Linked DNA regions of Drosophila melanogaster. The protein of the gene in region 3 interacts with the protein of the main gene of each other region in a pairwise test. Each region holds a gene or a part of one and is shown on either strand. Other genes may lie near its edges. The genes, in order: CG14589, Epac, foi and CG44837.

Evidence for each region.
Region 1: the proteins of foi (region 3) and CG14589 interact in a two-hybrid assay, tested with the Drosophila melanogaster proteins (one large-scale study listed by BioGRID).
Region 2: the proteins of foi (region 3) and Epac interact in a two-hybrid assay, tested with the Drosophila melanogaster proteins (one large-scale study listed by BioGRID).
Region 4: the proteins of foi (region 3) and CG44837 interact in a two-hybrid assay, tested with the Drosophila melanogaster proteins (one large-scale study listed by BioGRID).

What each region holds. Positions count from the first base shown.
Region 1 is NT_033778.4:6,134,144-6,141,042, reverse strand, and holds CG14589 (uncharacterized protein), read right to left. Parts: upstream 3,741-6,899; 5' UTR 3,617-3,740; coding exon 3,230-3,616; intron 3,055-3,229; coding exon 2,783-3,054; coding exon of another isoform or gene 2,778-2,782; intron 2,726-2,777; coding exon 2,635-2,725; 3' UTR 2,632-2,634; downstream 1-2,631.
Region 2 is NT_033778.4:6,793,582-6,802,170, reverse strand, and holds the start of Epac (exchange protein directly activated by cAMP), read left to right. Parts: upstream 1-3,229; 5' UTR 3,230-3,401; intron 3,402-4,758; 5' UTR 4,759-5,230; coding exon 5,231-5,265; intron 5,266-8,589.
Region 3 is NT_037436.4:8,521,142-8,529,667, reverse strand, and holds the start of foi (fear-of-intimacy), read right to left. Parts: upstream 4,425-8,526; 5' UTR 3,964-4,424; intron 957-3,963; exon of another isoform or gene 888-956; intron 1-887. Other genes in the region: GstO1 (glutathione S transferase O1), read left to right, coding at 4,866-4,893, 4,951-5,534, 5,594-5,715, 5,771-5,801; GstO2 (glutathione S transferase O2), read left to right, coding at 6,237-6,267, 7,350-7,936, 7,996-8,133; se (sepia), read right to left, coding at 8,234-8,368, 8,426-8,526. UniProt on the Drosophila melanogaster protein: Required for the normal migration of longitudinal and peripheral glial cells. During larval development, required for the migration of the subretinal glia into the eye disk.
Region 4 is NT_037436.4:11,934,233-11,942,657, forward strand, and holds the start of CG44837 (uncharacterized protein), read right to left. Parts: upstream 4,641-8,425; 5' UTR 4,468-4,640; intron 4,276-4,467; 5' UTR 4,109-4,275; coding exon 2,741-4,108; intron 1,688-2,740; exon of another isoform or gene 1,500-1,687; coding exon of another isoform or gene 1,196-1,499; exon of another isoform or gene 1,174-1,195; coding exon of another isoform or gene 1,164-1,173; intron 1,118-1,163; coding exon of another isoform or gene 733-1,117; intron 307-732; coding exon of another isoform or gene 1-306. Other genes in the region: byn (brachyenteron), read left to right, coding at 1-306, 733-1,117, 1,196-1,499; Rpt4R (regulatory particle triple-A ATPase 4-related), read left to right, coding at 7,872-8,425.

The DNA.
Region 1 (6,899 bases), on a different chromosome or scaffold from region 3:
TTGCTAACAGGTGAGGTGGAAGAATTTGATGAGAGCAATCGACGAACTTTGAAAAATGCTTAAATATTATACGTTTTTTTATACGTGTATCTATTTGTTTTTTTTTATCAATTTCGTCGTACTTCTTTTAAGTAACGTGGAGCCTTGGGCAAGATTTTAAAAGTAATTTAATACTTTGTTTATTCATTTTTTTTTGTATAATAGCTAACCTATTTTTTAGATGAACGAAGCTTAGCATGCGCAAAATATCCGTTCCCCAATTTTACCTACTGTTTGACAGTAAATAAAAAATTGAAATGCACAAATGAGGGCATTATCTCAAGGTCGTTTCCAATTGTATTCGGCGCGGTCTATCTATTCGCACACCCTCGCACTGGTCTTTTTGCTTTCCACTTTCGTTTTCGCTTTTGTTTGTTGTTGTTTTTGTTATTTTTTTTTTTGGCAAATAACCTTGATAAAACGTAAACTATTTTTATCAGTGAGTGTGAAATGGGGCCAATGGCAGCACAATTTCTGTTTGGGGTTAGTGTGCCAATTAACGATTAGATTATTTCTCACACTCTCCGCTCCACCCCGTAATGTGCGAAATAATTTGTATTTGGAAGATTCTAATTCATCGACCAAGTGGTAAACAAATTGATTCTGCAAATGCCATCCGATAGTCTTCTTTAGCGTGCGACGCACATTGCGAGATCTATAAATACCAAACTAAAATAAGCAACTAGCCATCTTAGGACTCCCCTATTGTGCGACACTATGCCCTGGCCATAGAATTATCCACCTGGCAATGCGTCATAGATGTTGGACCAAGTATTTATGGGTGCAGCCAGACAATTTGACTCGACTTGATGGCTAGTGCATAACAATAAAATTGTATACGGAGAGTCGGCCAGAATTACAAGATGCGGGTGCTCCAATGACGCTGGTTGTTACGTGACCCCGACCAACAAATGGGTTAAGGATGAACAACAAAAGTCGTCCCAAACAGAAAATTTACATTGCTTACCATTATTGTGTTATCTTAAATATATTGTGTTATTTTTATAGCAACGAATAATGGAGTATAAAATATCATCGTTTTTAATGGAAACTTTTTAGTAATCATTTAGTACACCGGGCACTGAAATAAACTTTTATCCCAGTCGGCTCTTTTGTAATTTTTTTTTATCAATAAGTATTATAAAATATAATTTTTTACAATACCAATTGTAAATGAATTGTTGCAACATTCTCTAGATTGAAGAACGTAATAAACTATTACTGTTTCAAAGCTTCATATAACTAAGTCCATAATCGTTAAAGCGACCGAAAATAAGTCATGTATACATTTAAAATACTAAAAAAAGATGCTACTCATACAAAGAATTTTTAACTTTGATATTTCGCAAGATATGAGAAAAGCTTTCGTTCTATTTTTTTTTTTTATTAAGCCTGTCTCGGGTCGAAAAGTGTTTTTTTTTTGGGATTTTTTTTTTTTTTAAGTCAAACCAGATATATAATGTGTATCGGCGAAGGCAAATATTTGAATTAGTTCAATGACTTCATCGGTTATGTTCTTTATATGTACATCACTCGCCGCTAATCAATTTAGGCCTCATCAGCGTCATCATTGTCAAATAAGACAGTAAAAACGGAAAATGCGAGTGCAGACTGAGGGAGGAAAGACCCAATTCAACGCACAATACTGATCCAGAAAATACAATAAACTTGCATTTAAATGGCAATAAATCTAACTCAACCAAGTGACAATCGCAAATGAACAACGAAATAAATCCGATTCCAGTTCCACTGCAAATTTGTATGTACATATGTATGTACAGACTACATGAGCCAGACAGGCAAATGACCCAGTAAGTAGTCGCAAAACAACATCGAGAGCGCCGGTTCTCGATCAAATGTAAATCAAATATGGCGAATCTGCGTCCAAATATGACCAAATGAATGCCGAAACCGGAAATGACACACGGGGAATGAAAAAATGCAAGGGTATGAGGCCGACTAGGACCTGCACCCACAGACTTCGCCCATAGTGCCGGCGAGCATTTAACCTTGAGCCGGCAACTGATTACAAAATTGCAACGATAACTGCCAGTGACCCCATGGCAAAGAAAATAAAATGGAGAGTTCTGGCACAGTGGGGGAACGAAGAAGAAAGCTAAAGAACCAATCGCTAAATTCTGCCTTGATAAGTCATCGTCTTAGCAGTCGCAGTTGGAACAAACAGACGACCGACTGGTAGACAGCTATATTTTGCATTTTGTTTTCGTTTCGTTTCCGCCAGATGTTGTCGCGAAGGCCATCGAAGGGAGGAGAGGGCGGTGCGTTTAGGAAATTGGGAGGCGGTAGGTGGTAGGTAGTTAGGCAAATAAAACCGATTATCTGTGGTCCAAAGCACTGAGCTAAAATTGAATTTGGAATATGAATCGAATTGAAATAAATAACATTACTAAGCTAATTTTTATTTCCAGCTTAAAGGCTACAAACAGTAATCATTCTACAGATTCTACGTTTCAAATCGAAAAACAAACATGTGAGAATAACATAATTATCTTAACTGCAAGGATAGTGACAAATGTTTTGACCGAGGTTTGCGCTATTTCCGTTTAAAAACAATGGAAAAGTAGAGCAATTAATTTAAATATATTTGTTTGAGCTTTTTTCTTTGCGATCAATACAACAATCGAGATTTATGTTTGCATATAACTTAAAACTAACTAGATCATGCCTAAGAAAAAGACAACGATTATTAACATCTCACAAATTGTTACTTTACTCACCTTGCAATTCGGCCAACTGCTCGGTGCTCATAACAATTGGGAGAATCTGCTTGGTGGTGCTGCTGGGATCTATCGAATTCGGATCGGCAATCGGGCTCATATAGCACTTGCGCATCCTTAGATACTGCAGCCAGACATTTTTGCCCTCCCCGGAAGCTCCTTTCTCGCCATGGTCATGGACGTTCAGATTGATTTGACTATCGTTCAGAAACATCTGGCGAGTGAGATGGAAGTGGCTGTTGGTGATGTAGATGTTCGGCTCGGCCGGCCTTGGTTTCTGAGCAAAGAACAATGAATTGTTAATACACTTTACATGTCTCGAGGTCAATTAGATCTTTACATAACATGGCTAGCAGTGTAACAGTGTCTTTGAATGGAAAATAATATTGCGCGCGATTTTAAGATCAATAGATTCTCAAATATGTTGGTTGTTTTGTGTTTGTTTTGTTAACCTGTTCGTGCATCACGGACAGCATATAGTTTTCGCTGATCAAGTGGATGTTGTAGTCTCGCAGGTCCACCATCAAGCGCTCCATACTCAGGTTCTTTTCTCGCAACTCGCGCACCTGTGCGTCCAGCTGGCTTTTATCGTCCTCATAAAGCTGGAGGGTCTGCTCCCACTCGTTTTTGATCGTGCGGACGTCGTACCATTGCTTCTGGCCAAGTAGCCGCTGGCACAGAAAGAGCTCCACGAGTTGGGTTAGCTTGGACAGGACGTAGATGCACAGAAATATCCACAAGAAGGTCACGCACAAGTTGAACACGTTCTTGCCGCGGAGGTCCGCGTTTACTCCTTGCTCATGCTCTAGCCCTTCCAGGATCGAGGATACGTTCCACATTGGTCCTTCTAATGTGTTGCTTTCCGTACTTGAAATTCTCGTGTTTTTGTTGTGTTTGCTTGAGATTACGGTGGTGGAAATACATTTAAGGATAAACAAACTAAACTCTACCCATGAAAGGGCTCTCGAAGCCTACTACTAAACGTTTAAAAGTTAATAACCGACAGTAATTAATGTTCTCATGAACAACGTAACTTTGCTGAGTTCGGAATTGAATAGTTCAAAGAGCGTATTCATTTAATAAAATTTAATTCACTTAGGATACTTTTTGAACGTGGTATGTATACTTTGAAAATTTAATTTGATTTTATTCGATTTTAGTAGCGGCTAACTATTTGGACTGTTTACAATATGACTAGTGTTAGTAGAGGTGTTTCTAATATCTAATACTTTTTTTAAATTAATTTTTCGTTGATTTTGTGTTTGTTTGTGTGCGTGTCTGGGGTTTCCCATTTTATGACTTAATTAGCCAAAACACCAATATAATAATGAACCGCAGCAACTGCGTCAAGATTCGTGCATTGAACTTTGGTGGGTTTTTCACAGGGATTTTATTTACAGAATCTCCTACAAAATTTTCCTTGAGTAACTGCACACTTGGTTTACTGTCGCTTAGTATATATACAGAAGGTAGCGATCCTTAACTTTATCCTTTGTACATACATTCTTGATCAAAGCAGATTACCAGCCGAGTTGATTACCACTCCCAAAATCTGCAAAAAATTGTTACGCTCAGAAAGTTGAATACTTCGATTTAATTTGAATTTATTATTTGCCAATTTCTATTGGAATTTCAAAAAATATTTAAATATTCATTCTTAAAGTATCGTTTATATTATTTAAAATTTGATTTGCCTTAAACTCGAAACCATTGTTTCTGTTGAATTAAGAATTCCTTAAAGGAAAGAAATGGGCTCTAATTAGTTGTTTGACATGCATACATAGTGCTACTGCATAGCAGCCCAATCCACACTTGATTAAATATGTGCACTTTAAAAATAATTATAACAAATGTGCCTTAGTGTTCGTTGGAAGGCCTAAGGGGTAGGACTGGGTGGGTGGGAGCTTGGGGCGACCCCAAATACGGACGACACAGACTGCGTTGTGGCAAGTGCATCGCTATTTCTGTAGCCAGAAGCTTTTTACCAGCCAACGTTGTCAGGTGCTTACTGGAGCATCAGTTCCTAGCCCCCGGGAAAAGCAGCAGCGCGTGCTGCAATTACAGCACCCAACGCTTACAGCTAAGCCAATGAGTTGGCACTTGCGCTAACAACAAGAGCTCAGTTCCCCCAGCCTCCTGAATACTGATGAGTTTTTTGTTTTGGCCGTACTGCGTTCCAGTTTAACTGTGCAGGAAATAGTTATCGATAACTGGCGCGACAAGGGCACGCCAATTATGTACGCACGCTGGTTTTCTGCTTAGTATGCAATCTGAGGGACTAGCTGCCAGTGAGCATTATGATCAGAATTGTTGACACCCAGGATGCCAACATCTACATACATAGTGTACAAAAGCATTAGGAGCTCGGTTGGTATTACTCCAATACCAACAAGGCTTACAATTGTCACTTTTAATCAAATAATGTCATGCGAGCCAACATAAAAACAAGAAAAATTGGAATATTTGCACAGGGAAATAAAAAATATCATTGTGCCTCTAAAGCCCCCAATAATTTGTTTTACCTAGGAAAATATCAAAAAATTACATATATGTTTTATTCAACTTTTATTTTCGTCGACAATCTATCAAATGTCGGTATGCAGACGTTTAATTAGCTCTCGTATTTATGTATGTTATGCGCGCACGTTTGCACAGACAAAGAATAAGGATTTATTTTCTTTACTCCAAGTCCATCAGGGCCAATTCTAGGCTGGTCTGAATATGGATAATGACCGAATCCTAGTCCAAAGCGATCTCGGCCTTTAAATCCTATTTGCCTTTTTTTACTGTTAGGGGTAGATGGATACGGCCACTGATCCTGCTTAACAACACACCATAAAATTTATAGTGTCAGAAAAAACTCAAATTACCTTTTACAGATTTCTTAAAGAATCTAAATTATCTTGTATATAACATACAAGATTAGATTAGTGTTATTTCTTTGAGAAAATTCAGAACTAGACAAGGCAACATATTCAAACCCATGTAATTCTTCTTACACTTGCCCAACTCGGTCCACTGTGTCTGTATATGACGTTTTCACCAACCATGCGGCATGGCCATGTACATACTTATGTATAATGCAAAATCGGTACATACAGTCCGCCTGGATAACTATGGCACTTGCTCTCCTTTGGTCTGCCGACTGCTGCCGTCACCCATTCATGGGCGCTTATCGGTAAACAACCGCCAATCTTTGCCTATTTGCCCAACGTCGAGTCTTTTATTCCTCTTTGCCCACGAACGGCCTAAGCCCACTTTTTCTGCCCGTTCCACGCCCTCCCATTGCCGACTGCCCCCAGTCTTTGTCTCGCGACTCCGACTACCTCAACTGCAAAACGTCGCCGCGCCATTGAACGACATTAAACCTGACTTTGCCTCCTTTCAACGCCCGCCCTCTGCTTCTGCTTCTGCTTCTTGTGGCACCCGATTCGAAGTCAAAATCACACCAAAAGACAAACCGAACAGCTCTGATCCGAAGCGAAGCAAACCAAGCCGTCACACAAGGCAAACCAGATTAGCAAAAAAATCTAACAAAATCATACAACATCATGAACTAAACCCAAGAAACTGAAACTAAATGAGAAATAATATTTTTGTATATTTGAAGTATTGGTGTGCAAAGTTTTTCTTACTTACGTGAATGTAAGATATTTTTCTCTCTGTGTCTGTGTCGGCGTTTTTCGCATTTAAAACGTTCGTGCTGCTGGTGAGCGGGGGCATGGGTTGTGAAGCAGATTGGTGCAGTCTGTCTATGGGTATAAAAACAAAAACACCAGGCACCGACGGCAGCAGCAGCAGCAGCAGCAACAGCAACAACCATCGGCAGCGTTGTCGGTCGGTCGTTCAGTGGATTTGTGTGTCTTCGCATAAATTTTGCAGCTTGAGCGACAGGCATGTAGACAAGTTTTTCTCCTTTTTTTTCTGTTTTCTAGCCAGCTATCTCGCTCGCTAAATGCACATAGATACACACACGTAGACTAAATAGCTGGAGAGTGATGCTCAGATACATTATGTGTAATCTATCTGTGCACTGCAACAACTGTTTCGGTTTCAATTCTATTATTCCAAGGGCTAAAACGAATAAGAATGAACTAGTTCCGAAGACGAAGGGCCAATTAA
Region 2 (8,589 bases), on a different chromosome or scaffold from region 3:
GAACCACTTCTGGCTGAGCAACAGCTGCCAAAGCGACTGACTAGGAGAACGATGGCGACGGGGACAATTGGCAGGGACGGGTTTGTTGGCTGAAAGTTAATTTTAAGCACACATTTCACTGAGCTCATTAAGCACACAGTCTGCCCGCTCCATACCCCAGTCCGCCCTTCCGCCCAAAATTGCGCTCCGTAAATCGCGCGGATAATCAAGTTTTTGGTTGAATGCAAATGACAGAGACTCCATCGCGTCTATTAACTTTTGATTTGCGCGTATTTGCCGGATGGCGGAGGGTATTGACAGGAAATCTCCTCGCCACTAATTCAGTATTTGTATGGGGTTTTCTGTGGAAACTAAGTTATTCAGCTAAATTCTGCTGACAAGCTGGAATCAGTGATTGGTTATTGCTTGAGCGTCTTTAAGGGCTTAACAATATAAAAGTACAGATCGATACCCTGCCTATCAGCACCGAATTAATTAGCTAAGAACACAATATATATATATATATATAAATATGTATATATATATATCAAATAAGTGCAGTGGATGTCCAATCATCTGATTCTCAAGAACATTAATCAATGCGTTTACATGAAAATCCCCGACAGGCAAACATCAATATTCGCACTGAACAGCTTGAGTTGCGCCCAAATGTGTGCTACACGTTGGTCGACTGGTGCACCGCCATGGTGGTTAGGGAATGTGGGGTGAATCTATCAGGAACCTGCGGAATATGCGAGTGCCTTATTAGCCAGTCAAAACATGAAGGCAGTGGCGCTGGCGTTCCTGATTGCACGTGCGCTGGCGTTACCTCATTTATCAGCTAATCAAATTACATGGCCATAATACGCAAACATTTGCATGAAGGGAGCCCAGGAACACAGGGCAGCTTTAATAGGCAATTTGCGTTAAACGCTGATTGAATAACCATTAATGCAACTAAAGAGCCAGTGTGCCACACATGCGATAATAATGACATCAGCAGGTGGGTGGGTAAGTGCAATCAGGTCGTAAACACGTTCCGACGGCACCAGTGACTGACTTTTGAAGCGACTGGCTGAGGATGGTGAGCCAAAGTCCTGGACAAGGACTTCGACAACAACGACTAGCTGACGACGAGTCGATCAATGTACAACAGCATTTTCTGCTAATGGGCCACAGGCAGGGTGGCAGGAAGCGCCATTAGACCAGGTGCCACATGCGTTGATGATGAAAAGAAAATGCATTAGGACCGGCCATGATGAGCCCGCACTTGGCCATGAAGGCCTTCAAAGCCAGCCGTGCCCACCAGCCGAGTTTATTAAGATCGCATTTATCATAATTACCGCCGGGTCGTTGTGTTGTGTCTGGTGGAGCAGGATTCAACGCCATGTGATGACATATTCAGCAGGCAAAGCGGCCGTTAAATTCTTGGAATTTCATTCCGCATTGGCAAGCCCGAAAAAATGTCTATGGTGGTCCTGTCAACATGGGGGAGGCTCATAAAAAATGCGACAGGCAGACCCCATGAAAAACCAAAAAAAAAAAAAAACCCTGCAACACAGGGAAAGTAGTCTTCCACTTTTATTACGTCAGTTCTATTTAGTGCTATACCGTTATTGTTAATTATGTCTAATTATATTAGTAGAAGTAATTCATCTTTGCACTTATCCTATGCTACACCCGTTTGTGTATAATGAAATACCTATCTAGGAATACCAGACTACGATCCACCTTAACTATTTTTCTTTCTGTGCATTAACAGCTGGGGGAAAAAGCCAAGAATTTATATGCGCTGGGGCAGCCTGTGGAGCTGGAACCGAAACTGGGAATGATTCATGCGGAAATAAAGGCACTCGAGAGTGCCGTAAATATTGTGGTGGCGACCACAACAACAGCGGCTCTGGGAAAGGTGGAAAACAAAAGGAAAGCTTTGCATTTTCGCACCTTTTCAGGAGCGAACACGACTGAATCGCCGTTGATTCATTAGCTGAATGTGACAAGCCGTCAGTGAATGTCCAAGTGTCCAAGTGACCAAAAGTCCGGGTGTTCACGCACTCGCTCCGTAAATTCTGTCCGTTGTTTCGTGTCCGCTGCTGGTGTGCATTATTTAATTGACATGTTGATTGTTTCGCATTGCGATTCCATTTTATGTGCACTTTCAGGCGAGGGTGTGAGGCAGTTCCGCCCGGGGCGCGGTGCGGGGTTGTCCGCTGTTCGCCCGACGGCCGAGCGGACGGACAAGTGCCTGTTGAAGAGCTGGTCAACTGCGACGACTCACCAAAATAACGCTCAACAGTTTGTTGTGGAGCACGTAGAATAGGAGAGCGAGCAGCAAATGTTGCTAAACATTCGAGTGAATAGAGTCAAAACAAATTGTTATTTCAAGTAGACTAGGCAAGCAATATTATTCGTAATACAACATATCAGATTCGATTAACTTTTCATCTTTAAAGCCCAATACACAATCTATATTTTTTTTTTTTTTATATTTATTTATTTAGAAGCGATGAATCCATACAATGCAGTAACAGTAACATAACAGCGCAATTAACATATAAAAGATAAAACCAAACCTCTCACTAATCATGTGAGGACTTAAGACAATCTATACTAATAAGCAATAAGCAAGTAAGTAAAACAAATAAATCAAACAAGAACATAAATTTATATGTTAAATGCTATATCATTATAGCCATCTTTATACAAATTGTATCTCTTTGCTGATTATCGTATATAAGTGTAGGCAGTAAATGAATAAGAATAATATTTAAATTAAATTAATATTAAGTTTAAAATCGTAAAAGAATAGTAGAAATCCATTCATATCACAAAATAATGGGATTCAAATTATAATAAATATTATAACAAAAGTAGTATAATTTCAAACACTATAAGCAAAGAAACTGTATTTAATTAGAACTACTTTGAAATTACGTTTTTTCGTGTGCCAAATTTTATTTGGATTTTGACCACACCGATTTGGATGTAAGCCCACTGTGCCGAAGATTTGTCAAACTTGTTGCTAAAAAACGCGCCAAAATATGTGAGTGACGGAAAGGGACGGCGGGAAGGCGGAACAAGGCCAAAAGTACCGCACCGCAGCCGTCAACACTGCAGTCATCGGCAATGAGTAACTTCCAACAACCCACCACGACCCCCAATCTCCGCCGGGAAACCCACCTGCGAGGCGCAGGACAGGAGCGTGGTGAAGAGCGCCGCTCGGAAGTCGGAAAATGGAAGGCGGCCGAGCAGTTGCGACGCGACTACCAAATGAATCGGACGCGATAGCGCTTCAGCGGAGGTCGAGAACTGAAATGTTTGCCCAAGAACTGTATATACCAAGTGCTTGAAAGCCGTTAGCAAGTGGTTCATTTAAATATTCGTTTGAAGTCGGTTCGATTTCAGGTATTCGCTGGATTTCGGTATGTCGCGTGGGTTCGAAACTAAAAGTTCATTTTCCGTGCCAAAAAGTGTTTGCCAACAAGAAGGACTTTAAAATATCGAATTCTGCTGCGGGATCTCTGTTACTCTTGCATCTTCTGATCCTTTTCTCCGTTCAGAGGATGCGTGAGTATTCGATTCATGATGTTTCTTCGCCACATGACCAAGCTAAATGGCTAAGTTTTCCGTTTGGCAACGGCTGCAGTGGGCAGTTAAATCACATCTATTGTGGTTCAAAGTTTTGCTTTCACTCGGTTGCTTAATTAAAACAAAGTTTGAAACCCTAAAGTGGAAATTACATGGAACATCTGTTTCCAGGGCGATTTCAAAGCTTGTTCAATTCAATTCCCTAACCGCCACTCCGGACACTAATTGCATTTGCTGGCAGGATGGACAACTCGTTCGAAAGTGGCCGCTTATCGAGTCGTCCACTCGGAATATCGCCAATATCAGTCTTATCGCCCCCGGGACTTTTGTCGCCATTTATGTACGTGGAGCCAGCCAGCGAGCGAACGACACGTCAGAAAACGTGGCATACATTCGGGCGCCTTCGCGGGCTGGCCACGATGGCGAATACTTAATTATTCATATGCGAGCTGATGGTCCTTCGCGATGTCTTTCCTTTTGAGCCGTCACTCGAACACTTGTTCCGCCTGCAGTTCCATTTCGCTGACGAAAGCCACTGCACTTCTGATGGGGTGGTATAAATTATGTTTTTTCCCATTGACGCAGAACAAAATACGCATTCGTTTGCGGTACAGATACAGATAGTGCAGCGCATGGGTAAACATGGAGTTCGGTAACGAATTCGCGGTTAGATCGTGCCTTCGCATGCCATACGATCTGGATTTGGGCATACTGGGAAATTAGAATGCCCATTGACAGCGCATTAAGTATACGCCGTGTGTGTGGAGTAATCTATTGTTATCTGGAAATCTATTGTTAGATTTGTGCGCCAACAGTTTGTTGGTGCTCCGCCCTCACCGCTCTCCTGCACCACAACACCCCCTCGCCGGCCGAGCAGGCATCAAAGCTTATTCATAACATTTGCTTTTGTTGGCGACACAGATACCCACAAGCACACACAAGCACACACACACTGACGCAGTGGGGCCTTCTGGGCAGCTATCAGCAGTTGGGAAAACCCTTTTTGGCAAGTCCAACAATAGCAATTCACATTAGTTATGTGGCTGAAAAAATCGGAAAGAGGGAAACTTTTACATCTGCTGCTGGCATTTTATATAAATTATATTAGAGTCCGACATCCCAAGGCTAGCTTACACTTACGACTGCTGTATAGTGAATTTAGACTCACATTCGCCCAATTTAACTTTGCAGCTGCTCGGTATCGAAATCCTCGTCGCCAGCCAAACGGGAGCTCAAACTGAAATCCATTTCCAAACTTTCGCCTAATCAACGAGCTACGTCCACTTACCCCTGGCTCCAACTCGAAAGGAGCTCGCTCCAACGCTCCCAAAAGCGGATTTCGAGTGCCTCGCTGGGCCGAGCCACCTGGCATGTCGTATTCAAAGGGAATCGCAGATTGACGGCCACATCGCGGATTGAGGTGACTGCAAACTGGGTGCGAGCGCCGCCATTACTCGGTATTTTGATTTCGCTTTCCTGGGCCGCAACGGGCAATTAATTTGCACCACTTTGGAGCCGCTCCGCCTCGATTTATGTGCTCTGCTCAAAGTTGGGGCAACTATTTGGTTTGGTGTTTGTGGAATGTGCTGTTCATAACTTGTATCATAACTTGTGTCAAACGGCGAAACTAATCGAGCGAGGGAGATTTAAATAAAAATTCAACATGGCGATGGAATGGATAACTGCAATGGACAAACGGTAAGTGATTTTTTAATGAGCTGCACAATTAATGAGCAGCGATTTTGGGGAACTTTTCTTTAAATTCTAAGTTTTTAGCTCCAAAAGTTTCCTTAGCTGAAACGGAATGCTTTCTCTTAAATTTAAGGCATTTCCCAGCTGAGTGCACAAGTTTCTTTCCTCTGTTTTCCCGGAGCAGACACGTACTCACACATCGACGTACGTGTAAGTTGAATGAAAAGCTCGACGTGGAGTACAAACAAAACGAGAACGAGAAGCGAAACATTTTAAAATGTTGCCGTCATGCTCGACATTCATTTGTCAAGAACCAACATCGGGGTGCCCCATCCTCCTCCATCCTTGATGGCTGGCAAATGGCCAATCCATCCACTTTGTGGACACGGCCTGCCACGAATTATCCGCTTTATTAAATCTCGATATCAATTCTCCGTAACTCAATGAGCCGCCTTCTGCACAGCAATTATTTCATCATTCCTGATTTGGACACCGAACAAAGGAAAATAAAAACAGGACTTTAATCATGACATTCATATCTTTCTTGTGAATTGAAATGCAAAATAAATGTAATTGTAGTTCGCTATAAATAAACCAACCCATTTAATGATACTACTCTTAAAATACAATTTATATTATGATAAAGCATTAAAGTAATTTACCATTCATTTCATGAGCTATGCCTGAAAAGTGTTTTCTGTCGTGCAAAAATAATAATTAAACCGCTGTAAAAGTATAAAAATACTATAATTTAATTGAAAATATATATATTTCTGCTGAAAGCTCCGCATTTCAGAGGTTTTAATGCACATACATTTTTTACGTAAATATGTGCTTTGCAATTGGATGGAGTTTAGTCTTGTGCAAACATTATTTTAGTGGAATAAAACAGAGGCACGGGACTATTGTTTTTTTTTTTTAGTTGATGTCAGACTTTATACTTTCCATTTAAGAGAGCGGTTTCATTTTATCTGGACACCACAGTATTTATCTTTTCACAGCCAACATAATAACATTACCCTTATCTAAATTAATGAAAAAGCTCATATGTGAGATGGAGTATCTCTCCTGATGACATGCTATTTCTAAAGCATTTACTATTGCAACAGTCAACAGAATAGTCAGCATTCTAAAGCATTTACTATTGCATCAATCAACAGAATAGTCAGCATTTAGCGTGTAAAATATTTATATACAATTACGGAATAACCAAATTTATTTTAGTGTGTGCGCAGTACTTAAGCTTAAGTTGAACTTGATTCGAGCTAATCAAACATTGACCAGAGATCAAAATTGTTTTTCAAAGTGTCTAAATCGATTTGCCCAACCGTAAATGGCCGGGAATCGAGCACACATTCTTCCCAGCAACCACTTGATGCAATTTGTTGGATTTCAGCTGGGGCATCGCTGGACGAGTGCCACCATTACCATTACCATTATTAGCCCCGCCTGTCCCCACCGACTGCTCAGTTGTGCGGCACACTCTATTATTGCAGAGTGGCCTTATATTTCATTGGTGTTATCCGAATGGGGCGTGCCTCCGCCTCATACCGGCCCGCCCCTAACCGCCGCGCACACACACCATCAATCAGAGGACAATCTCTTCAAATTTCACGCTCTGTCAACGCTTAAACGCTTCTGCCGCACTCGCACTAAAGCATGAGGGGTCAGGGGTCAGCGGGCACTCATGTGACTGTGCGCGGCAGCGGGAAAAAAGAAAGGTCAAGTGGCAAGGGCTTAAAGCAAACTGTTTGCCTTGTGCCTGGGCAAACATTTGCAGACCGCTGCCTTTTGTTTGCCCCGCCCAAAGAGAAAGGGCCTAGTAGCGCAAGGGTGCCAGGATGCCAGGGTGCAGTATGCAGATCCAGATTTCTTTCACAGCTCTTCGGCTGCTCCTTCTTATGGACCTAATACAAATGGCCTCGTACTAAAGTAGGGAGCGAAGACAAAATAAACGATTTAATTTGGACAGAATTAATGGCACAGCCAAGAAGGGCACGTCATGCTGACTGGTAATTCGGCTTATCAAGAGCGATCTGGGCTTAAGCGCACCTGGAGATAAAGGACGAGGGAGCACTCGGTGCATGCCATCGGAGAATCCTTGGAAGGAGGCAAGGTAATCGCAGAACGTAAGGCGTGAAGTGGCAAAGCCAGCAGACAGCAATTGATATTGATGGCTTCCCCTTCCCGGCGGAGGAACAATCGTCTTACTTACAAGTGCCGCCGCACATTTATCATACGCCACGTGTGCCAAAGCAGCTTTAATGTGTGCGAGGAGGCCACCCTTCCCCGCAGCTTTAAGGCTGACGAATCGCCGGCACGCCAATTACAAAATTCCGAAACTAAACTTTCGGGCGTGTGCCTAAAAACCGCAAAAACCATTATAATAAACAACGAGCTGGCTGCCTAGGATGTGTCCCAACGCGCTTCCGGCTCTTTGGATCACTCCCTTCGTCCTTCGCCTTTCGCCCACCAACAGCCACCTGGCTGTTTGGTTAACGACAAACCCAGAAACGGTTAGTGGCCCCCCTTCTCGGCACTCGGTTCCCGAAATTGCCGCTTCTACTGGCGAATGAATTATGCATGAGCCCGGCAAGACAGTTCACCTTCAGGAGCCGGATGAAAGTTGTTCGCAGGCTGCGCCAAAAAAGTAGACGCCTCGCTGCAAAAGTAGCCCTCGATGCAGATGATGCCCGGCCAGGGGCAAGCTTGGGATCTATTCCTGACTGCAAGCTGCCTTTGTCTGCCCAGGTCAGCCCTTCCTGCGGACGCACCCGCTCCGTCTGAGTTTTATGGAATTTTTAATTAGGCGAAAGTTGGGTGGGGTCTCCAGTGTGGGCGGCATTGGGGGATTTATGGTGGGCGGGAGCTCGCCTGAAAATTGTTTAAAACTTTTGGTAACATGCCGCATGGCAGCAAGGCGCAATTTGTTGTCTGTTAGACATGTAAAAACATTATTTATAGCGCGATTTGTATTGTTTTCCTAGGGGGAAAAACTTTATTTTTTTTTTAAAGCAAGGTGATTTAATTTTTATTATTTAAAATTAACTTACTTGCACTTCCTGAATTTGAGAACTCCTTATTAGATCTGACAGCTAACTTTTTCTCAAATGCAATTAGTTGACGCTTCACTCTCATTGCTTCGCCATTTCCCTGCCCTTCTTCTCATTATTCTGGGCGGACTTCCGTTTCCTGCAGATTCTTGCCCGGAAACTCTTATACTTATTTATTCATTTTTCAATTGACTTGCACACAGACAGGCAAAAAATATAATTTGCATACTTAATGCGCGCACAAACCGAGCACAAATGACACTGGAATTTTTAATTT
Region 3 (8,526 bases):
GGATTGCAACAACAACTTGTTGGGACTCGGACAATTTTACAATTGCGCATTAATGGCAGTTAGTTCAACGGTCCTGCATTGAAATCCAATTTATTGATAAAACTTTGGCGAAAATTTACGACACAGGCACAGATACAGATACACGTGGGTGGATGGGTGGCTCGCTGGTTATCGACTTAATAAAAGCGAAAGCCAAAACCACTATAGGTAATAATAGAAACGTCATTGTTGTTGCATTAAGTTATGATGGCGGTATGATGGCGTCAAGGTCACAGGAAGTGGGCGTGCACCCGCGGCATTGACAAGGACACACGTCGCCTTGGCAAGGGGTTAAGTGTTAAAGGTTGAGGCTGCTGCTGCTGCTGCTGCAGCTGAAACTCTGGCACTTGTTGAGGAAATTAACTGCCAAACTGCCAAAGGAAATTTGCGAAAAACTTAATTTCAGGGCAATAAAAATCAATCAACGAAGCTCCGATTTGCATACAAATTCTCCAAATCAGATCAAACACAATTCATCGGCAATATTCCCAATCAATCCAGCAAACTCAGTCAATTGGTCAAGTGCTGCCGCCATTGACCGACTGTTTCATTTGTATTTAGTGCTGTGTTATTTTTATTATTATTTTTTCTTTTTAAATCAAGCCTCATTTAAATTCTGTTCGCGTGATTTGAATGGAACCACTGCGAGAAAATGTTTTACGATCTCGTTTTTATGATGGCGTCAATGCTATAGGGCATTTTTATTCGGGGCCCATCAATTCATTTCACTTTCTTCCACACCACATATATGTTTATATTTTTTAAAATATCTTGAATGCTTTTCGTAACGAGTTGAAAGATGATTTAAGGGAAAGAAACACTAAACCCAACCGATCTGCGATCCTCACCACCAGTGAGCTTTGCAAACGCTTTGCAACTGAGCGGCGCGCGTCGCTTGCGGTTCGATTTATAAGCCAGTTTCATTGCTGGCTAATTGAGTGAGTGTGTACGTATGTATGTCTGTATATATGTATATTTGTGTATTATATATCGATGTGCATATGACTGGGGACCACATTAAAGCATACCCACATCGAAGGCGTGCTAACTTGGCGGGGCGTGGCTGATTCTGTACCATGTCCAATGTCGACGAGAACGAAAATTAGAACTCAATGATTCCATCTTAATTTTGAGCTCTTAGCCAAAATACTTAATGCGGTTCGAACTAAGATCTAATTAAAACGTCAATATTTTAGCAGATCAACGTATTATTATTTTTATTCCATTCAAACTAATTAATTTAAAAAAAAAATAATTTTTTGGCCAGCCTTCAATAATTTAATTATTTTACCATTGCAATCTGGTGGTCTGAGAATTTTAAAAAAATGTAATCTGAAAGTACTATTAGTACTTCTATTAAATTTACTTACTATTTTTTCAATATAAATAAATAAATAAACTTTAGGAAAAACTGCTTTGTTTTTATTGTTTAAAATTGCACTTTAAAATCGTACATATCGAGAGGCTACTGTACCAAAAACGTACGATTAGATTTGCTGAATCGACTTTAGTTCGCATAACATCTCCATATCGAAAATCGCACGCGTCTGTTTTTTCCGAATTCTCGTGGTAATTGTATAGTCGGCAAGTCACTGAACTCGCTGCTCTCTGAATTCCATGTGTACACCAAAATTTCGCATGATATCTCCAACGAATAGTGCTGTCCCATACGGATTAAATTTCCGCAGAGTAACCCTTTTTAGATGCGGAAAGCTTATGCAGCTGAGTCAGCATAAATGAATTTCATATACATAGAACCTCCACATAAATTCGTTTGGCATCGCAAAAGATCTCCATGCTGAAATTTCAGGATAAGGGTGGGTCTCATTTCGCAAATTGTGAAATTCCAAAACGTTCTGATTACTTTTCGATGAGTCAACATCATGAAATTTCACATTAAATCTCAATTTCATATACTCAAAATTCCTGGAACCCATTCCACATTTTATGCTTCGATCGCACAATCAAATTTCGCATGACATCCGCACAAAAAGCCTAAAATTGAACACGCGATCGCTCAAAGTTCAATAGATAAAACTTGATGAGTAAATTTCACATGATATGTACATACATGGTATCTCCACGTTTTTAGGCCCCTGACACTGCATAATATCTCGTTTTATACATGTCACAACCTTAAACTGCGAAATTAAATCTAGAAACGTACTCGTAGAACTCCTCGCAAGATTTATGAACAACTACTATGCACAATCTACAGTTTGTTTAGCCTGAAATTTCCACCGTACATCTACATCTCCAGATCGTCTCTCTACCTGCTGAGCAATTTATCTTTTATCTTGGCCGCAACACAAACACGAAATTCATACCTGAAACTTCAGCGAAATAACCTGCGAAAAGGTGTACCCAAGAATCCAAGCACATACATACACACACAAATTTGGGCATTATCTTTTTTTTTTTTTGTTTTTTGGTTTCTACCTTTTCATAAGCCAAAGCTTGATGTGAAATTTCAGCAGTGTGTTTAGGAAGATATGAAAAACCTCGCGTCATGTGATGGCCACATGGAACTGAAGTTCTGGATGGGTAGAAGCCAAGTACACACAACTAGACTAAGCTGAGGTCAATCACGTCGGATTCAGATTCGGACTCGGTCTCGGAATCCGAATGGACAGCTACGGATCCAATCCGATTGGATCAAATCCGTACGGAACGAGGCTCTGACCTTGCCATGCTCGCCGTCTGCTGAATTACATACTATGTACGCTGGCTGGCTGGCCGGTTTAGTATTCAGCTAGTACGACCCACCAAGTGACACATAACTGATGTTGAAGGGCTGGCCATATGCGATAAATAATTCATCTGGGGGCATCGAAATGATCGTGGATCGCCGAGAAACGTTTGTTTTCCGTATTGAGTTGTTGGTTGCTGAAATGGTTGGCTGCCTCAGTTGTTGGCGCCTGGTTGCAAGGCATTCATAGCTGATATTGCATTTTTTTTTATTTGCAAATATACATATCAATTTTTGCAAATTACGCTGGCTCATGAATAATTGATTGGCGGCGGGCGTTTGGCGGAGAAATGGAAAAGTTCGCGCCCGATAAGGATGCTTCCCTTTTGGCCACCACCGGCACCACTATCTATGATTCATGCACCACCTACACTTCTAAAAAAAAAAAGACAAAAACAACAGAACTATGTGGAAGGCAGCCAAAAGTGCGAAAGGAACACATGTTGATATATGGGTCAGTGGCGATAACAGTGACGGCTTCCAAAGGGGGTTACGCATCCGGAATACAACTTAAATATTTCATATCCCTCAATGCGCAATACAAATATAAAATCTAATGACGTTATGTGTAAGGTGATAAGAGTATTTATTTACGCAAAATGTAAGCTGTGTACGTCGAACACGTGGATTGTAATTGTAACTATGATCGTTTGGATAAGTCTATTGATTTAAATAGAGAGAATGCTAGAGATAAAGCATACGCGATGTGAAGACTCATCCACGTTGTCTTCCCCCTTGAAATCTTATCTAGCCCCGCCAGTGGATGATAAGCATTCTGGCCCGTTTGATAACACTAATTCCATTGATTTTGCGTAATTAGGCTCTGAAGATAGCGAGCATGGAAATGGTATCAGAATTGCGCTGAATTATGTATAGAACACATTGATGATGTCGATCGAAAATAGCATAAAAACGTGCTGAATATCAGTGTAGTTACGTGTGCATCTGCGTATGTGTGTGTACAACAAATACATATGGATGTAAGTGAGCGGGTGTCAAAATCACACGCACATGGAAATGTCCCGCTATAAATAAATACGAGTGGGTGGTGGTGGGTGGATTTTGGGCGGTGGGAGGTGGAATGGGGGCGCGTCGCATGCACTTTCCATTCTGAACGAACTTATGCCAAGATTAAACAAAGGCGAATAATTAATGCAAGCCCACTACTAACTCACCCGTAAATTTGCCGGACTGTTTAGCACATCGCACACTGTAACACACACTCACACAATTCCCACTAGAGTTATTGCGGGATCGAAGATAATGCTGGACGATTCTGGGAGCTATAGCTTTTGCCGATGCGGTGGGCGTGAATGAAAGAGGCCGTAGAGATTACGCCGAGTGTCAATTACGTTGCAATAATCTCGGTTTGGCACGGGAAATCGAATCGAAGCGAGTCCGCATGGAGCGGCGAGATTTGCACGGGATACGGAGTACGGGATGCGGCCACCAACACCAACACGGGCTCAGTTACGCAAGGGCGAGCTTACTGTAAACATTTTCCGGACACGCTAAACATATGCCGCAGCAGCCATCTCTCTTTCGCTCACACCGCCAAACACAAGAAATCCGCAACTAAAACAATTTTGTTATAACAATTATCGATAGGCGGTAGGGATGTGGAAAAACACCGAATCATCCGCGATAGGTATCGGTGTTCCGTTGCTATCAACGCTACACATCGATGGCGATCAATGTAACCTCTTGCAGCAAATATTAAAAACGATAAATATAAATTGATTTTAGATTAATTATGTATATACAATATGTATTTGGAGCAGTGATGCAAATAGTCTATTATGGATATATAACCATAAATTATTGAAATTAAAGTCCTAAATAATAGATGAATAGATGACTGAATTATATTTAAAAAAATTAAAGTTGTAAAAATTAATATTTAAGATTAAGATAGATTTTTTTAAACCGATTAAATAATAATTGATTAAAAATACATCAATCCTGTAAAAAGACAATACGTTATCGAGCCACCTTAACGTTTACTGTCAAATATCGATAATTGTCATAACCCGCAAAACAGGTTGTGTTCCTTTCCAGAAAAAATTGTATTGCCAATATGAGCAATACTCAGCACTTAACTATTGGTTAGTATAAGTTACTAAGTTCCAAATTCACATTTAAAAGGCGCATATATATTGCAGGCTCGCCAAAGCCCGTATTTCCGGATGATGGGATCTTAAAGCTGTATTCGATGCGCTTTTGCCCCTATGCACACCGTGTGCACCTGGTCCTGGATGCCAAAAAGATTCCCTACCACGCTATCTACATCAATCTTCGCGACAAACCCGAGTGGTTCTCCCTGGTGAGCAGCTCCACAAAGGTGCCGGCACTGGAGCTGGTCAAGGAACAGGGAAATCCTGTGCTGATCGAGTCGCTCATTATTTGTGACTACTTGGACGAAAAGTATCCGGAGGTGCCATTGTATCCCAAGGATCTGCTTAAAAAAGCCCAGGAGAAGATTTTAATCGAACGTTTCGGACAGTTCATCAATGCCTTCTACTACCTGTTGCTGCACGACAATCCCGAGCAGCTGGTTGACACCGATCACTATGCCGGATTGGTCGTTTATGAGGAGGAACTGAAGCGACGTTGTACCAAGTTCTTTGGTGGCGACAGCCCAGGCATGCTTGACTACATGATGTGGCCCTGGTGCGAGCGCTTTGACTCTCTGAAATACACTTTTGAACAAAAATTCGAATTGAGTCCGGAACGTTTTCCCACTTTGGTGGGTCCTATTGGTTTTCTAATTATGTCTTTTAAATTACCGAGATTGTTCTACTGCAGATTAAGTGGCGCGACTTGATGATCCAGGATCGTGCTGTCAAGTGTTTCTATCTGGATGGACAGACCCATGCCAAATACATGAACTCCCGGCGATCGGGCCAGGCCGATTATAATATGCTATAGTAAGATTTGAAGATTATACATATAATGTGTGACTGATCCATTTCTCGTTTCTAGCAATGAGGCCAAACGTGTCAAATTGGGGTAGTCTACGGGATGATGGCGTTTCCACTTCAGCATTGTACCTTTTGCACATATAACATGTAACACATGTACCTACTACGGCAGCATTATTGTGATTGAAAAATAAATCTTTGCATTTTCATTGTTTATACGGGTTGTAAGTACGTTTGTTTTAGAATTAGATTAATGAAGGTATGAATGATAAATGGATATGAAAATACTTATCTTAGAGTAGTCGTTTGTAGTCTTTAATATGTGGTCAAACAATTTTCTTAAATATGAGCTTAAGAATTTTAAATTCACCCGCTCAACAATCGAAATATATTCGATAAATTCACTCGTCCGGCGACTGCGACCACTTTATAAGGTACCGGAATCCCTCTATTTGTTGTCAGTCGATCGGAACTACTTTGCCACCAACATTTCACGTCTTGGGAATTATTTTAAAATTGTTAACAAAATGGCCCTGCCGCAAAAGCACTTCAAGAGGGGTGAGTTGGGGGCACTTCAAGGTCATCGGGATAGTGACGCTGCAAAAGTTGGCAATTGATTTCATAGTTTTATCTAGACCCCACTTTGAGAGGCGTAAATTACGCAGAGATAGAGCTTTAATTTTAGCCAAAGCATAATGGAAAACTTTCTGCTGACGTCACAAATCACCCTTCAACAGGTTCGCCCAAACCGGAGATCCCCGAGGATGGAGTCCTGCGTTACTATTCGATGAGATTCTGCCCGTACTCGCAGCGTGCCGGTTTGGTTTTGGCCGCCAAAAAGATTCCACATCACACGGTTTACATTGATCTTAGCGAGAAACCAGAGTGGTACATCGACTACAGTCCATTGGGCAAGGTGCCGGCTATCCAGTTGCCAAATCTGCCTGGACAACCGGCTTTGGTGGAGTCCCTGGTCATTGCCGAGTACTTGGATGAACAGTATCCGGGCGAGGGCTCCCTTTTCCCCAAGGATCCATTGCAAAAGGCGCTAGACAGGATTCTCATCGAACGCCTGTCGCCCGCTGTCAGCGCCATTTACCCCGTGCTGTTCACCAAGAATCCACCCGCTGATGCCATCAAGAACTTTGAGACCGCTCTGGATGTCTTCGAGCAGGAGATCACCAAGCGCGGAACACCATACTTTGGAGGCAACAAGATCGGCATTGCTGACTACATGATTTGGCCCTGGTTCGAGCGATTCCCGGCCCTCAAGTACACTCTGGATGAACCCTACGAGTTGGACAAGACACGCTATCAGAATTTGTTGAAGTGGAGGGATCTGGTGGCTCAGGATGAGGCTGTCAAGGCCACCGCTTTGGATGCCCGAATCCATGCGAAGTTCATGAAGACCCGCCATGAGAACAAACCGGACTACGATGTAGCCTTCCAGCCCTTGTAAAGGATGTATTAATGGATGACAGGAAGCAACATACTTAAACTAACATTGTGAAACCGCTTTTAAAAAAATATTAAACCCATATATAAAGTAGACCATCAAATGTTATTTCTACCTTTTCAACTGGGATTTGGGTCAGTGCTTTTATTCCTGCCAATTAATCAAGCTTACATTGATCTTACAGGTTCCACCAAGCCCGAGCTGCCAGAAGATGGAGTTCCTCGTTTCTTTTCCATGGCATTCTGCCCCTTCAGCCACCGAGTTCGTCTGATGCTGGCCGCCAAACATATTGAACATCATAAGATCTACGTCGATTTGATTGAGAAGCCTGAATGGTACAAGGATTTCAGTCCTCTGGGCAAAGTGCCAGCCCTGCAGCTTACTGGGGTGAAGGACCAACCGACCCTCGTGGAGTCGCTCATCATAGCAGAGTACTTGGACCAGCAATATCCCCAGACGCGACTCTTTCCCACGGATCCGCTTCAGAAGGCGCTGGACAAGATTCTAATCGAACGTTTTGCTCCAGTGGTCAGTGCCATTTATCCTGTGCTGACTTGTAATCCCAACGCTCCGAAAGATGCCATACCGAACTTCGAGAATGCCTTGGATGTTTTTGAAGTGGAGTTGGGCAAAAGAGGAACGCCCTACTTTGCCGGCCAGCACATTGGAATCGTGGACTACATGATTTGGCCTTGGTTCGAACGTTTTCCCAGCATGAAGATCAATACGGAGCAAAAGTATGAGCTGGATACAAAACGATTTGAGAAGCTGGTATGTTTAAGTAATCCAACATAAGATGATGCATGTATCTCATCAAAAATCCATTACAGCTCAAGTGGCGCGATTTGATGACCCAGGATGAGGTTGTGCAGAAGACAGCTTTGGATGTCCAGTTGCATGCTGAGTTCCAGAAATCGAAGACCCTTGGAAATCCCCAGTACGACATTGCCTTCAAGGGTACACCATAGAACGACAACTGGTTTAGACAAGATCAAATCTTTGGAACCGGTTATGGACTGCATTTATGTTTTATTCATTCCATGCGAAAAATTCAATAAACCAAGTGCATCAGGCATCCTTGACCAGCAGATTGTAATTGGGTCGACCCAGGCTCCGTGTACGCAGGAACTCCGCCTGAACCTCGGCCTCCATGTAGAAGGCCATCACAGCCGGATCTCGTTTCATGCGTTCCAGCCAAAGGGTCTGAAAAATGGTATACTAATGTACTTCATCACTCCTGGGATACACGGACCTGCTCACCAGCTGGGGGAAGCGACTCTGATCGTAGTTATAATCCTCTCCACGCTGCAACTTAAGGAGCTCGAGGCGCTCACACCAGGGCCAAATCATATAGTCCAGAA
Region 4 (8,425 bases), 3.4 Mb from region 3:
GCAATGCCTCGTCCACATCGCCGCAGCCGCCGTCGGCTCCACAAACGCCCACCAGCCTGCACTCCACGTCCACTGGCTCCGTGAGCACCAGTGTGAGCAGCTCGAGCGGCGGCGGCATCGGATCTGCGCCGAGTACTGGTTGCTTCAGCAGTTCCTACGCCCAATCCGGCTTCATGTCGGTCGATGCCAGTCCCACGGCGTCCGTGTTCTCCTATCCCAGCAGCTGGCAGAGCAATGGCAATTACTGGAACGCCACCAGCGTGCCGGGACCCATGCCCATGAACGTGTGCAGTGGCCGCAACATCTGTAAGTACTTCATGGAGGGCAGGAGGAAATGCTTCTGCTTATATCTTTGCAAAAATACCCGAAAGGCTAACCAAAGATACAATACGTTTGCTAACAAGCTACGTGACCTTTGAACTTTCGAAACGGAAATTTAATTAAAAAGTACCTAGTGTTGCTCTTAAGTTTTCGCGTATCAAAAGTTTTGAGCTCCTTGCTTTTGAAATAATTTAAGAATCGTGACAGTTTTCAATGCACTTAGCAATTTACCATTAAAGTAAAATATATACTTAAATATTATTAAGTAAGCAGAGTAATTTTTTTTGTAAAAAGTTCAACTTTGGACAATGGTATCACCTTTTTGACAGTTTCTAGTTTGCTGCACACATTATAATGACTATTTACAATCATGATATGGAAGATAGGTGACTGATAAATTTAATTTTATAGCATCTCATAACTCTCCGTCGCCGACGAATGGATCCCCGAGCTATACGACCTCCTCGCCCAGCTACACCATTCATCACCTGACGCCACACAGTCATCAGTACAACATGGCCCAAACGGATATCTATGGAACCGGAGTGGGCGTTGGGGGCGGGGCAGGAACAACGGGATCCCCGCAAGCGGCATACGGTGCAGCTGCCCACCAGGTGTACCATCCCACGCCCACCTCACCCACTCACCAGCTGTACACGAATGCGGTTCTCAATGCGCCCTCGGCGCTAAGCTATTCCGCCAGTGGTTGGCACAATGGATCCGGGGCGGAGTACGGACTGTACCAGAACGCTGCCGCCGCGTATTACCAGCCGGAATACATTCCCCTGGAGATCGGGTAGGTTGAATCGGTGGGGAACTGTGCGCACTTACCGCTAACGTAGCTATCAATGATTTCCCACCAACCGCCTTCCAGCTATGCCACTCATCCGTTGGAGCCCGTTGATGTTTCAAAGACACTGGACGACCCCCAGGCTGCCATGTACAAGCCGAGCGATGAGCAGGGCTCGGTCATAACGCTGGAGTGCGCCAGTTCCTCCCTGAAGAGCTCTCACGACATCAAGATAGAGTCCTCATCCCTGGAGCACGCCGGGGAACGGGGCACTGTTGGCGGTGGAGCTGCCGTGGTCTCGGTGCCAACCGCCGTGGTGAATGGAGCTCCGGCCGTAGCTGCCGACACCTGGACCCCGCTCACTCCGCCACAGAGCACGCTGCAGTGATCGGATCATCCCACGGATAAACCCACAGCCTTTAGACGCATGACCCCCCTGGATGTTCGATCGAGTTAGAAATAAACGCCCTATGTTAGTAACGCTATTAGTAAAGCACACCCAATCGCAATCGCACCTATTGTAGAACTATCTGTACGCTGTAAACAATCTCCTATAAAGTCGTAATCAAACTATGCAAATGGCTAGAATTCATTTTTTCAGGTCCTAACTATCAGGCAATCATTTCATCATACAATGGTATCATCTACATCATCATCTACATACAATGGTATTTAAAAGTTCTTTAGAGTGCATTATTAACCGAGAAAATATTTCCTAGTTGAAGACTCCTGTCATGCTTTAAGTTTCCCAGGCCGTTTGTTCCTGAGTATTGCACAATAAAAGTCTCACACCCCTTAGGGCCACATAGAGTGTGCAATTGCATCCTTGTGGTAAAACAAAAGATAAAGTCTTGAGTTTTCGAGGGGTCAGCCAACAGACTCCAACTCTATTTGAAATGGCAGCTATTAAACCTAAAATCGTCTTAACAATTACAGACAATAACGATGTGAGGGTGCGAGAAACCCAACTGTGAGCTTAATCCCGGCAAGAACAGGCATCCAGCTCATTGTCGGATTCAAAGGGGTATTCAATTTAGTTTAAAAGTTGAACCCATCCCATGCGGGCCACTCGCAGCCAGACAATGGAGCACTTGGCAATGGCAGAGTCAGTGCCCCAGGGCGATCTCCAGGCGGCAATCTGCCAGGACCAATCCAGCCGTGAACCCGGAATGTCCACAAAAGGCCTCGCTGATAATGAGTTTGGGAAATGCCTGTGTATTGGAATCTCCGCCAGAGTGCATTAAAAGCTGGATAGAAAGTGGAGGCCCTCTGAATGTGCCGCCATTCACCTGAATTGCCGGACACCCGCACTGCAGATATAGTTGCTGCAATTAAAATTACACGGCGCCATCACTTGTAAAAGGGCTGTGCACGGCGGGAATTTGACGCGGTTTTGGATTAAATGGGCAAACAGGAAACAATTAGCATTCCACTTAATTGCAAAATATCTAAAATTTCAATAACTAAAGCCATTTGCCTTCCTATACTGATGGTATAACAATAGACCGACATTAATAGACAATATAAGCTTCGAAAGTTACAATTTGTTAATCATATGTTTCTTATTCAACCGAAATTGTTTTCAGTTTTTATTTGTATTAATCTCTTTTGAACGTAGTTTTCACTCACCTGATAGTCCATTGAGTTGCCATAGCCCATGTGGTTGCAGGAGCAGGAACAGTGCTTGATATGCTGCTCCAGCTCGTCATCGATGACGGTGGTGCTGGTTGTTAGGTGTCCAAGTGCCTCGTGATGGAAGTGGGCATGCTCGAGATCCCAGTGATCCCTCTGGCGAAAGCGAATGTCCTTTCCCTGCTGCTCCAACAGCTCTACAGGATTTGCAGCTTGATGTGGCTGCGGGGATAGATGCTGTTGCGCTTCCCCGGGCCAATCGAATGAGCAGGACTTGAACACACGTCTGCCACCCGTTCCGCCCACCGCTGTGGATTGTGTTTCCCTGGCGGGACTGTTCTGTGGACTGGGGCTAATGGCATTAACTTTGCTGTTATCGCTCTCTTGGGCTGTTAAGCTGCCGACTCGCAGGAGAGCGCCGCGCTCGAAGCTTTTGGCCGCCTGGTGGAAAGCTCCGTACGCAACAGTTTCGTCCTCCTCAACATCGCTGGCATTCTGGTAGCGACGCATTGGCGGGGCGCCACCAGTTGCTCCGGCCACGTTACCGTTACCAATGGCCGCCGCCGTTGGCGTCACAGTTACCGCCGAGCTGGCCGCACTGAGCATGAGGCGGAGTATTTCATTGGTGTCCTTCGACGGCAGCGGCACACTGCAGGAGCCCGTTTCCGCCTCGGAGATTTCCTGTGTTTCCGAGTTCAGCTCATCCGAACCGTTGGGCTCCTCGACTTCGATCTGTTGGTTTTGGCGTGCACGTTGGCCCACTATCGAGGCGGCCGTGGAATTGGCTCCGTACTTCCAGTACGTTTTTCCAGTGCCAGCGATCCTCTGCAGATGACTTCCAGCCGCCTGACGTTTTCGCTCCTGCAGCTGTTGGAGATTTTTAAAGACTTTTCGCACCGGTTGCGTGTGATGCAAGGTGGCACATCTTCTCATGGGCGGCGGCGTATATACCGGGGAAACACTGTAGCTGTGCGAGTGCCGACCGGGCGAAAGTGAGCCACTCGACTTCGCGCCCACTAAGCGGGCTTTCAGTTTACGGCCAAAGCCCAGGCCACTTCCGCCTGCCGTTGCGCTTCCGGTTCGCGAGGTGAGTGAGTGGGCGGACAAGGAGAGGGCGCGACTGAATCGCAGAGCCGCTGATCTCTGCTGCTTGACGGCCATCAGCTGGCACTCGTCGATCGTCGGCAGCTTTAGCAGGTGAGGATGCAGCTGGGCATAAGTTAGTGAAGGCTTCGCACTGGGCACATCCGGTGAGGGATTCGGCAGCGGATCGAAGAGGTTTCTCTGGCTGAGGGCCAGGAACTCGCGCTGCTCCTCCTCCTCCAGCGCCTTCAAAGCACGCAGGTCCCACTCGCCAGAAGACATGGTTCCCTTTAGTCACTCATGGATTGTTAATTCTTTTTCACGAATTTTAGTTGATATTTGAGTAATGACACGCAAATCATCTTTATTTATGTTTCAGTATTAGCACTTATTCTGGTCTATTTACTTTTAATTTGCATATTTATGAAAATAAACACATTTTTGGTGGCCTAAGTATTCAAGTATTCAAGGATATAACATTATAAAGGAGGTACAACTTATATGTACATATAATATATTGAAAGCAAGTAAAATAATGTAAGCTAAGTAATAAATATAATATACAAAAAATAACGTTTCTATTATGTAAGTGAAAGTAAATGATAAGATAGTAGATATAATAATCGGATTCCAAACGCTACCTATTTTTACTCTTTCACTAACAATGTTATGTTTGTTATGCTTTTCCAATATCACGGCGTAAACTAAAACAAATAAATTATAACACGTCAATCCCGCCAATATTCCGTCACATTTTCCGTTGGATAAAACCGCTAACGCTACCCGGTTCAATTCAATTACCGTTGCCACGCGGCGCTGCCAACACACTGGGCTCTTCAGTGCTGCGGTACCGTTACTTTATAACGGCACTGCTAACAGCAGCAGCAACAGTTTCCGCAAGGAGTACCCCCCAGTGGATGGATGCTGTGGATCGTAAGTGACCTGGCCCAACAAAAAAGTATGGCAGTGGGTCGCCATGTTAACAGTATGTAATGTAAAGTCCATGTTAATGCAAAGATATTTTATTGTAATACTTATTTGAAAAAAAGTAACTATAAAATATAAAACAAATATCCATTGGAATCATGTAACAATAAAAAGAATTTAACCTCCAAAGTAGCGTTTTTTTGTTTTAATGCTATGCCTTAACAGACCTTAAAACATTTTTACCAAACAGGGCTTTTCTTATTGAACTCAATAGCATACATTCTTCTTGGTAATCAAAGTTACGCTTGCTCCTGGCCACAAAGCCAAAGTCTATTGTTTTATGATGGTGTTATCCCAACTTGGGGCAAAGAGTTGGCCCAAAGGTGATACCGCAGGTGACGGGGCGGCAATGAAATATGCAAGTGCATTCATTTGGCATCCAAAGCAATTTCGCAGTCAGCAGGACGACGACACATAGCCATTTTTGTTAACCTCATCTCAAAATGTTCACCGACCCCCAAGCCAGCACTCAGAAAAATATAGTGTGATATCTAATATTATGTTTTTAAATTCAATATAAATTATTTAAAAAATCAATGTGCGAATAGCTAGAAAACATGATATATTTTAGTTGTACAGATGAAACGGCCCACGCATTAAAATTTTTTTTGTAGTGTGACCATTTCTTGTAACTTAACATTACAATGCACGGCCACATTTCTGCACACCTGTACCTGGGTACATATGTAAGTACTTGCTCATGGCACACACATACTCTGAAGTGCTCATCCTTCATCCTGATGTATGGCCATCAAGCATCGGATGGGCTGAGTGTCGGAACACGGAGGGGAAGTAAGTATGTGCACCGCTGAATCCCCCGAATCGTGTTAATGAAATTCAAGCTGGGTCAAAAATTTGCATTAGCACATCCGGCATCCATATGCAAATCATATTTCAGATACGAGGACTCACATGATTAACAAAAAGCGGATCGATGGGACGTTCGTAAAAACAAAAATATATATGTAACTTTGTGGATATATATCCATTGCTCCATTAAGTGACTTATTTTAATCTTAGTATGCAGGCAAAGGAATAATTAATTATTATATAATTATATTAATTGCCGTTCTCTTATAATAAATTAAATTTTTTCTATGGCACAACAATTATTTGTTAATAATTACAGGAAATATCTACTAAATAGACGTTTAAATTGGTTTTATTTAAACCTTTCACGTAAATGTGAAGGCGTTGTGGTAATTAAAAATATTTAAATATTAAGAAAAAAACAGAAAAATGTGGTTTCCTATTGTCTTGTAAAGCCAACAAATAATTATTTTGAAACATTGGCTTACTGCAAATTCCCGTGGGAATTTTGCTGTCTAAACAATTTAAAAAGGATTCTTCTTTATTTAAAGCTTAATAACTTGGAAAGAGAACCAAAAGTTGGCCCGTGAAGGGCTCAACAATGTCGGAGTCAAGCCATAATTTTTCGTGAACATGTTGGCCAGCCACGCCCATGTCCTCGACGGCAAATCCCTGCCACAGAGGATGTCAGAAGTCAAGATCGAAAACAAGTGAAAGTTGCAACAAGCCATTCTGTTTGAGGTCTGCGTTTAATTTTTTTTATGGGGACACTGTAGCCAGTGAGTCGAATTCGAACAGGACCTCTTTCCTTGACCAAATAACGAACTTTGGCTGGAAGGTCGGGAACATCTGCGCCACAAGTTGCGAGCCCAACCAAGCCACCGAACTTTATTGAATAGAAATTCGGTTTCGTTTCCAGAAACTTCATATTTCTGTACGTTATTGTTCCTTCCCCCGCATGAGATACTTTTGCTGTCTGGCGGCGATTTGGTTTCCAAATGTTAACCCTACCCTGTCTTCTCAACTTATCCAGAAAAGGGTGAAGCCAAGCACCACGAAGCCACAAACTTAAATAAGTAATTTTGGGATACAATTTTTTTTTTGTAATTTTCTAAACACAAAGTAATTATTTTTAAATACAAGAAATGGTTCAAAAGGAATGAAAAAGTGTTTCAGTTTCAAAGACCCACAGCCAGAGGCAAAATACTTGGCACCAATTGGCGCTGCAAGGCGTGTTCAAATTCATTAGACATTTGCAAACTGCATATTTGTCATGTGTCCCAAATGCGGGGCATTTCGACCCGTGGATGCAGTTGTCCCAGTGGATATCTGGATATTTTGGTCGTGGTAACCAAACCACTCGAACCAGCTGGACCCGCAACACGGAGTGCTACAAAATGGCCTGATTTATGGCCCCGGATGCCGTGCTGACATTTGGTTCCCGGCCAGCACCTTCCGACGCATTCGATGGCATTCACGTGCCAGCGGACTACTAAAGTCGAAATCACTGGCTCTGTACAATTGTCGATTTCTGTTTAAGTTTGTGGACACAAAATGCAGCTCTTAATATCCTTGTAATAGGTGACTTTAGGCCAAGACTATAAACAAGAATAATACCATCTTAAACTAAACTTGTAAAAGTCTTAAAATCCATAAATATAAATATAAAATGCCAAAATTAAAAAATATTTCAATCTTTTTTAACGCTCCTTACTTTATAATTTGTTTTTCTCATTTCAGAATTTTTTCTGCACAAAGTGGCGCCATCTTCTTTGAGCGAAAGCTTTCAAAGCTTTCAACCTTTGGATAAATGGCTTTGATTGTAAAACAATGAAATAGTTTTAAAAACAAATTTAAGTAATTCGTCATCTTACCTTATTTTTTGTAATATAGTTATACAAATATGTATTACAATATGTCTTAAAATTTAATATCGAAATCTTGGCGAATATTTACTGGCGTTTTATAGGTATCTACATTGTTGTAAGCATCAGTTGCTCGCAATAAATATATTTTACTTAATATATTATTTTAGTCATTAAATAATTTTTCTGTTGTTTTAAATTAATATTTCTCTCTCACGTTCCACTGTACTGTTAATAGAACTTTTAGAGCGATGTTCGTTGTCGTTTTCTTATGAACCGGTTCATCGAAGTGCTCCATCGTTCAAATTGACAGACGTCAAAATCTTCACGTGTGCACAATTTTAAAGTCACTCGGTGTAGTTAGGAAGAAATAAAATTCGAGAATGTCTGCTCCACTTGCAAATCCCCCAACAGACGACGAGCGTGTGAGGGCGCTGACCAATTACCGTACCAAGCTTCTGGAGCACCGCGAGATCGAATCCAAATTGAAAGCTTTGCGAGACAAGTACAAGGTCGTGAATGCCGAGTACGAAAAGTCCGAGGACGATCTGAAGGCTCTCCAGAGTGTGGGTCAGATGGTCGGGGAAATCCTGAAGCAGCTCACACCGGACAACTTCATCGTGAAGGCCTCGAACGGACCGCGCTACGTGGTCGGATGTCGCCGGCAGATTAACAAGGAGAAGCTAAAGCCCGGCACACGTGTCGCCCTGGATGTGACCACTCTCACCATCATGCGCTATTTGCCGCGGGAAGTGGATCCCCTGGTGTACAACATGACCCATGAAGATCCCGGAAACGTAAACTACGCTGAAATCGGTGGACTTGGTCAGCAAATCCGCGAGCTTCGCGAGGTCATTGAACTGCCGCTACTAAATCCAGATATTTTCCTACGCGTTGGCATAAGTCCGCCCAAGGGATGCCTGCTCTACGGACCGCC